Lonchura striata: one gene and its partner. The protein of the gene in region 1 interacts with the protein of each later gene in a pairwise test. Links are inferred from orthologs where the notes say so. Each region holds a gene or a part of one and is shown on either strand. Other genes may lie near its edges.

Region 1 (3,926 bases):
ACACGTGGTACCTCACCTGCACTCCGAGAGCCTTCCTGGTCCCACTGGACACTCAACTCTTAAAGCTCCAGAGAAAACAGGGGAAATTATGAGTCCCTGATAATAAAACCTCTTGACTTTTGCCAAGTAAAACAGAGTTGTAAGCATGTCTTGTGCTGAGAGAACGAGCTCCAGCTCCTTTTCCAGTTGCAGTCAGTCCGACCTTAGGCATGCAAACTGCTTCTTCTCCACCCCCTTCCTCGCCTCTCATGGTTAAGCCTCTTATCTTATTTATACCTTCAGGCCCCACTTGAATTCCACATAATTCCCCATTTTCTCTTTAAACTGCTACTATAGATCTTGCAAAGGAGAGAGCAGTGAGGAAAACAGGTGAAAACAAGATTTGTCTGAAGATGTTTTAGCAGAACATCTTATAAACTGCCACAGAACTGCCACTTCCTTCTCTTAAATAAATACCAAGGGAAAGCTGTGGGGAAAATATTCAAGGAAAACCAGGAAGTTTGTCTTTAATTTGAGCAATATCAGTGTTTGTTAGAAGTGTGCAGGCTTTTAAGAGCCCACATTTGCCTAAAGAAAGCACCTCGTTGGTTCATAAGGCTCCTGAGTGGACAAGCTCTTCCAAAGTGAGCCTGTATGCCAGATAACATCTTCCAGGATCAGGTAACTAATGAAAGTTTAAAAGGGAAAACCCAGAATGTAAATTCCTAATCTCAGTTGTTGCCAGTGTTTATCTGAAGAAATTCCACTAAATTAAGTCCTTCTTTTTGCCAAGTCTGTAACACTTGACACAAACACCATTCCCTCTCCCAGTGTCTGTTTCCCTGTCCAGTGAGCACTAAGCTGTAACACCACTTTACTTGAACACAGAGGTTTCCTTCAGAACTTCTCGGCATTCACTATGAAACCAAGTATTGTTATGCCAGTTTTATGGACTGGAAAACTGCAGATTTCCAAGATGTTAGAAATTACTTCAAGGAAATATTAGTATCTGAGAATAATTCTGAGACAACCTTTATTGCTGGATGGCTATTTGTTATGAGTAATTTACTCTATTTACTATTGGAGGACTCAGTTGTCACTGATTTTAGGCCAAGTTGGATGGGCTTGCAGCAATCTGGTTTGTGGAAGGTGTCCCTGCTCATGGCAGAGGGTTGGAACAAGATGATCTTTAAGGTCCCTTCCAACCCAAACCATTCCATGATTCTGTGACAATGAATTTTCATATACAAAGCTGGATGCAGCCAGGAATGTTTTCTGTTAAAGATACTCTCCAGGAAGGCTGTAAATTCCTGGTTAAGCCCAAACCAGGCATGAAACAACTCATTTTTGTTTTGGGGGGCATTTTTTTAGCATATCAAAGAAATAAATGGAAGCATCAGTTCTCTGTAGAAGTACCACTTCCTCAAGAGGATATTGGGAGGATTTGGGTTATCAGGTCCTGGACCATTGGATGGGGAAAAGGAGAGGTTGCTTCCTTTTTTAGTATCGGCTGCAGAGGATGAGGATGAGGATGAGACTGCTTCTTCCAGGGAACCTGGGAACAGCTGAGAGTGTGTAATTTCCTGGGGATGATCCTGGAAGCAGTGATGACACCAGTTCTGTGGTGGGATACCAGTTCTCTCATCAGGTTATCAGGTTCCAGACCTGCACTGCCAAGGATTCAGTTCTCCAGGCAACACCAGGAGAGCAGTTTTGGAAGTATCAGAGCTTTGGAAGATGTTCATTGCCAATGAGACTGGTGACTTCAAGGTGTATCTATGTAATAGACAAATTATGTCCAAGACATAATCATATTGGGATGATCTAGGGGATTAATTCATGTGGAGGAATGCTCAAGGTTTGATCAATATTGGTTCTCCTGGGTATATCCATCTTAGGAGGTATCAGGTGAATTTAAGGAACTTGGTTCAGGACAGTATCAGAATCAGTATCAGTTCAGAGAACTTTGGGAAAACTCAGATGGTTCAGAGAAACAGCAGCTTTTCCTGAGGGAATCAGATTTCAAGATTGTAAAGCGAGTTTGGGGATTTCCCCTGGGGTATGTTATGAACTGTGGGGGAATTATTGGATAGATTCAAGGGAATTGAATATCTAAAGGGGTGAGTTTGCAGACAGCAGAATTGGTTTTGGTGTCCAAAGGAACTCCAGGAGAGCTGGAGAGGGACTTCAGACAAGGCGTGGAGGGACAGGACAAGGGGCAATGGCTTCCCACTGCCAACAGGGTAGGGATAGATGGGATATTGGGAAGGATTTGTTCCATGTGAGGGTGTCAAGTCCCTGGCACAGGGTTCCCAGAGAAGCTGTGGCTGCCCCTGGATCACTGGAAGTGTCCAAGGTCAGGTTGGACAGGGCTTGGAGCAACCTGGGATAGTGGAAGGTGTCCCTGCCCATGGCAGGGGGTGGAATGGGATGATCTTTACGGTCTTCTAACCCAAACCATTCTGTGATTCTATGAATATCATTGAGTTTAGGAGTCCCAAGCCTTCTGTGGATTTTGAGCAAAGTCTGAGGGAATACCAGATTCCCAGAGAGCGTCACCAGGGGATACCAGGTACCACCTGAAGCAGGTGCAGGGAGGTGCAGAAGCCCGTTTCTGAGGTCACCCCTCAGGGGGCACACACAAGGCCAGCCCACCTTGATCCGGGAGGCCTCCCGTGGGAAGCGGGCACAGCGGGGGTACAGTGGGCGGGCGCGCTCACCGTGGGGTCCTTGATGGCGCAGCCGGGGAGGAAGGGCAGCCCAGGCCCGGGCCCGATCGGGGGCCCTGTCCCTGTCCCCGGCCGTATCCCCGGCCCCGGCCCCAGCTCCGGCTCCGGCCCCGAGCTCATGGCGGCGGCGGCGGCGGCGCTCCGGGCCCGGCCTGGCCCACGCGTCTCCACGGCAACCGCCCCGCGCCCAGTGCGCATGCGCAGCGCCCTTCGCGCCTCCGCGTCTCCCCGCGCCTGCGCAGTGAGTGCCAAGGGCGCGCGGTCGCCGTGGCAACGGGGAGGGCTCTGAGGGGCCGAACCGCCCCCCCCACCCGTGAGGGGAGTTCGGCCCCGGAGCGGGGAAAAAAGACGTGGAAAGCGTTCATTCTGTTTTATTAGGGAGTTTCCCCTCACAGCCCCTCATAGTCCACTCGTATCCCACTCACAGACTTGCATATCCCCCTCGTGGCCCCTCATAAACCCCTCACATTAAAACATTTTGCGGGTGGTGGCACCTGGACTGCTTCTTTTGGGGGAGTTTTCCCTGCCGTGTGCAGTGTGCAGGGTAACGATCAGCTCTGAAGGGACAAATCCATACCTGGAGAGATTGAAATATTTTAACAGGAGTGATTGTGCCAGTTTATGATGTATATATACATGTATTAAAATGTATATAGTTGTGAAATAGTGTATTTTTCATATGTAGCACTGATGTAATTCCTCTCTTTCAAATGTGATTTTTATCTCTGGAGGAAGGGGCTAAAAGAAGCATCAAGGATACCATCAAGGAAAAGGTGGATGTGCAAAACTTGACTCCTAAATGTAAGAGAGAAAACAGCTAAATCCATCACCATGGGAAACAGAAATTATCTGCTGCATTTAGAAGTTGTGGATTCCCCAAAAGACGTGGATTCCTCACCCCTGGATGCATTCAGAGCCAGGCTGGACAGGATTTGAGAGAAACCTGGTCTAGTGGAAGGTGACCCTGCCCATGGCAAGAGGGTTGGAATGAGATTATTCTGAATGTCCCTTCCAACCCAAACCTTCTGGGATTCCATGAAAAAGAAGGTTTTTGTGCATCTTTGCTTTTTTCTCTTTATCACCACTACACCAGGCAAGCCAGGCTGTGATTCAAGGGCAGGTGGCAGATCCAAGGGTTTTCTAAGCAGAAGTTAAGCGGGGAGAATTGCAGCCAGACTGTCTGCCTAAGCATGGTGTGGGAGAGAGAAAAAAGCCAGA
Region 2 (3,926 bases), on another chromosome or scaffold:
TCCATCAGAATGAATACACTGCGTAGAAATTATTAGTATTATGGAGAGGTTGAATCCCCTCATTTGATAAAATCATATTGGAATATGTTTCAGTTACTGCTCCCTGGTCTGGAGATGTAGCATCCCTGCATTAATTCACCTCTAGCAAGGGACCTAGTTAAGAATACCTGTTGTATGTTAAAAGTGAAAAAGAGATTCATGTTGAGGGATAAGTGGACCTTGAATTTGTATTCTCAGCCCTTGATACTAAAGATTGATTTGTTCCCCCTAAAATCCAAACCACAGCTGTTCTCAGCCTGTCTTCTGTTAGCTGTTTTCCTTGGTTGTCACTTCTAGTATGGATTGTACTGCCTTTTGTTGACATTATTTTTTTCCTCTATAAAATCAATGCTTTGGGAGACTACTTAGTTAGTTTTTTTCTTTCTTTATAAGCATTTTACTTGAATTTTGGGTTCATATAAGCTGTGAATGAAGATTGGTTTAAATGACAAACAATGCTTAGAGTTAGTGCTGCTTCTTCTTGCCTTTTGTGATGATTTTTCAGCTTGCTTTTGTGAAGTGGCTGGTTTGTAAGACTTGGGTTTAAATTAGTTACAGTTGTTCTATAGAAACTATTAAAACTCTGTTTAAAATATCAATTAAAAGATTTTATAAATAGTGGAGATGAGGAAAATAAAGATATTTATTCTATTAATTAGAGTGAATAGTGTTTCATGCCAGCAGGTAGTCTGTTCAGAACTGATAGTACTCATTGCATTTCGTAAGCCACTGTGCAAAGCAAGGGCTCTGTTCATTGCCTGTCCTTAGGAGCACAAATGATTGCTAGGAAATACTGATTGTGGCATTGTAGGATGCCAGTACTGGAAACCTGTCACACTAAACTTAATGTCAAATACTTTTTGATATGCTATCAAATAACTATCAAATAGCTATTTGATGTGTATGTATGATTAGAAAATTTAACATTCTGTGCAGATTGAACCCAATTCCTATAATAAAATTAATCTCCCCAAGCATTATTTTGTTGGTTTACATGTTTCTGGCAATATTAGTATAGCAATGTGGTATAAATTTGGGGTTAAGTGAGTTGAGAAACCATTTAACTTGAAAATTAAGTTGGTTATTTTAAACTCTCCTGCAATCTTGACTTTTGCAAATTCAATACAATACATTACCATAAACAATAATGAACAGTCAAAATAATTTATTCCAGTTAAAATCCATTCTGAATTTGTTATAAGCAATACATACTTTAAGCCTGCTTATTATCTGAAAACACTCTCACTGCTGTTGAGCAGAGCAGTTAGGTATATGTATGTTCATCACATAGGTACACAGAAATTCAGCTAGACTCTCTGGTTAAAAGACAGCATTGAGAAAACATATTGCAAAGAGCATAAAGCAGTCCATCTGTGTTTACAATGTTAGCAGATAATTCTTGTTAAATTCAGGCATAAAATTTTCATTCAGCTTAAGTAAGCCAGAGATAGATGTCATTATGAGATTTACATACCATTAGCTCACATCAGTTGATTAGCAGCTGAGCTCTGTGGTACAGGGCTAGTTAGATGCATTATTTGTGATGCCAGGAGGCTGCAGTTCAAGGAGGTTTACTGGCTGCGTGCTCGTTTCCTTTGCCTTTGTGATTACTTGATAAAATGCAGTGCATCACTGTGAACAATCGACCCTCTTGAACAGTCCAGACTGGTCAGCAGTCTAAATCCACATTTTAAAGCTGTCATTATAGCCTCAAATTTAAGAGTTTCCAGGGTGCAGACAAAGGTGTTGTCCTCCTTCAGTACCAGTCGTGTACCGTTTTCAGACTTTATGAAGTACTTGAATTGAATAATATTTGAAGATACTGAAAACTCCTCTGGAAATCCATCCAGTCTGCTTTTGGACACCAGTACAATTCTGGATTTTATTTTTGCAATGAATTCAGGAGCATTACAAAAGATTCTAAGTCCTTGTGAACGGTCGTGGCTGTCAGTTATTTCCAGGAAAGTAGTCTCTCGGGATGCTAGCTGTTCCTTCTCCCACCTTGCTTTCACTGCCTCTGAAAGTACCTTAAGCTGGAAGAATTCGGCTTCTTGTGCCAAAAGTTGATTTTCTCGAAACCCCTCTGGTAGAAGAAGTTCTCCGTTCCGTAGGAAGTTGAGGATGTGTCTGAAAAGGAGTCCATCTCTGTCTATGAAGTAATGACCATCTGCATCAAATGGGCACATTATTCTTCCATTTATGATCCCCTCCAGAAAAGAATCTGGATACTTGGTTAGTGTCTGTTTTTGTGTGATATATAGATAACCACCGACATTCAGAGTAATCAGAGACGTTTTATAGTCCTTGTCTAGCTCGGAGCTTTCAGAGTTGCTGGTTTTTTCTTCGCATTCATTTTCTCTCCTGCTTGCTTTTCTCTCCATTATTGAAGCTAGGACAACAATACAGCTATCCTGCTTTGCTCTTGTCAGCTTGCAAAGAGAATGTTTCTTATTAAAAAGCACCTTTATTCAGCTCCAGCTTGATGTTGGAATAGAAATGCTGCTCGCATTGCTCCGACTGTCAGCTTGGCTTTGCAGTAGGTGGCGTATCAGCTGTGTGTGCAGGGAGATAGCAGGAATATGACTGTAAGAGAGAATTTGCATTTAACTGTGTAAGGGAAGAAGCGTATAACAACTGTTTGTTTTATTTCTTTCCCTTAAGTCTAAGTAGTTTGCATAGCTTAGGGTGTTCTGCACAGAAATACGTACTGCTATACTAAATGGCAACTTATTTTTAATACTTGAAGATGTATTTGTAGTGTCAGCTGGCCAAATCATATTTTGTGCTTATGGTGTTAAACAGCTTCATTTGTGTTTCAAGGATTTTTATTTTCATGAAGCCTGTTTTTTCATGTTGTTTTTTAGTACTGATGACAGTACCTGATGCATACAGCAGGACAACAGAGAAATGAAAGGTGTCCCTGTGTGTATAAGGGGGGTATCATCTATGGAATGTGTGCATATGCATGTCATTTATTTATTTGGTATGTGTGCAGCAGTAAAATGTTTCCACAGAAGATACCCTGGAAGTAGTCCTAAGGACTTGATCTGATTGTTCCAGATTTGTGGCAAAAGCTTTTATTTGCAGTCAGAGGGTCTATCCTCACCATCACAAGATCAGCAGCCTGATTAGGTTTTCTTTCTTGCCTTCCTGTATGCCATAGACAAAAACAGTTTTACACTGAGGATTTACCATTTATATTGATGATGGTTTTTAAATCACCAAGACTGTCTAGCATCAGTTGCTTTTTTCTCAATAGTGAAACTCATCTGCCCTGTGGAACAAAGGGCTTGTGTGCCTACAGATAGCTTTGAACATCACATAACACCATAGCTTAGCAACACTGGGGTAGAGGGAGGCAGAGACATCGGCACAACACACTGAAATCAAATGCCTGTCTTCTCTCCTGTACTTTGAGCCTCCCAGTTGCCTCTTAGAAGATTTCCCCTTTAAATGTATGCAGTTTGGAGCAGGAAAGGAGAAGCTCTCCACACATCTCTATGAGTGTTGCCTTGGGGAGTGGACAGATAGGAGCCACTGCACGCATTCCCCAGCACAGGTGGGAGCAAAGGCTTTCCTTGGGTTAGACCTGGAGAGGAGGAGGTTCCATCTTCCTCCAGATGTATTTTTCACTTTACAGATAGATGTGTCCTGCTAGCAGTGGAAAGGCAGATTATTTTTCTGTAAATTCTTCGGCTCTAAGTATATTATTCCTACTGCTCCCACTGTCTATAAGGTTGTTTATTGATACCACAGAGTAATCACTGTACTATTTTATTATTTGGTAACTGACTAGTGAAAATAAATGTTTTCTCTAACTCTTCTCCTTGCCAGGGTATCCTATCCCTAGTGTATCCCAGATACACTGAATTTTTCTGCTGCTGTAT

Evidence for each region.
Region 2: the proteins of EFHC1 (region 1) and KCTD4 interact in binary tests that used the Homo sapiens proteins (3 or more experiments, as listed by UniProt). The two-hybrid records come from large-scale screens. The link is inferred for Lonchura striata from reciprocal best matches to the Homo sapiens genes EFHC1 and KCTD4.

The regions. Positions count from the first base shown.
Region 1 is NC_134605.1:110,378,724-110,382,649, reverse strand, and holds the start of EFHC1 (EF-hand domain-containing protein 1), read right to left. Parts: upstream 2,829-3,926; coding exon 2,700-2,828; intron 1-2,699. UniProt on the Homo sapiens protein: Microtubule inner protein (MIP) part of the dynein-decorated doublet microtubules (DMTs) in cilia axoneme, which is required for motile cilia beating.
Region 2 is NC_134604.1:60,949,857-60,953,782, forward strand, and holds the start of KCTD4 (BTB/POZ domain-containing protein KCTD4), read right to left. Parts: upstream 2,608-3,926; 5' UTR 2,421-2,607; coding exon 1,647-2,420; 3' UTR 1-1,646.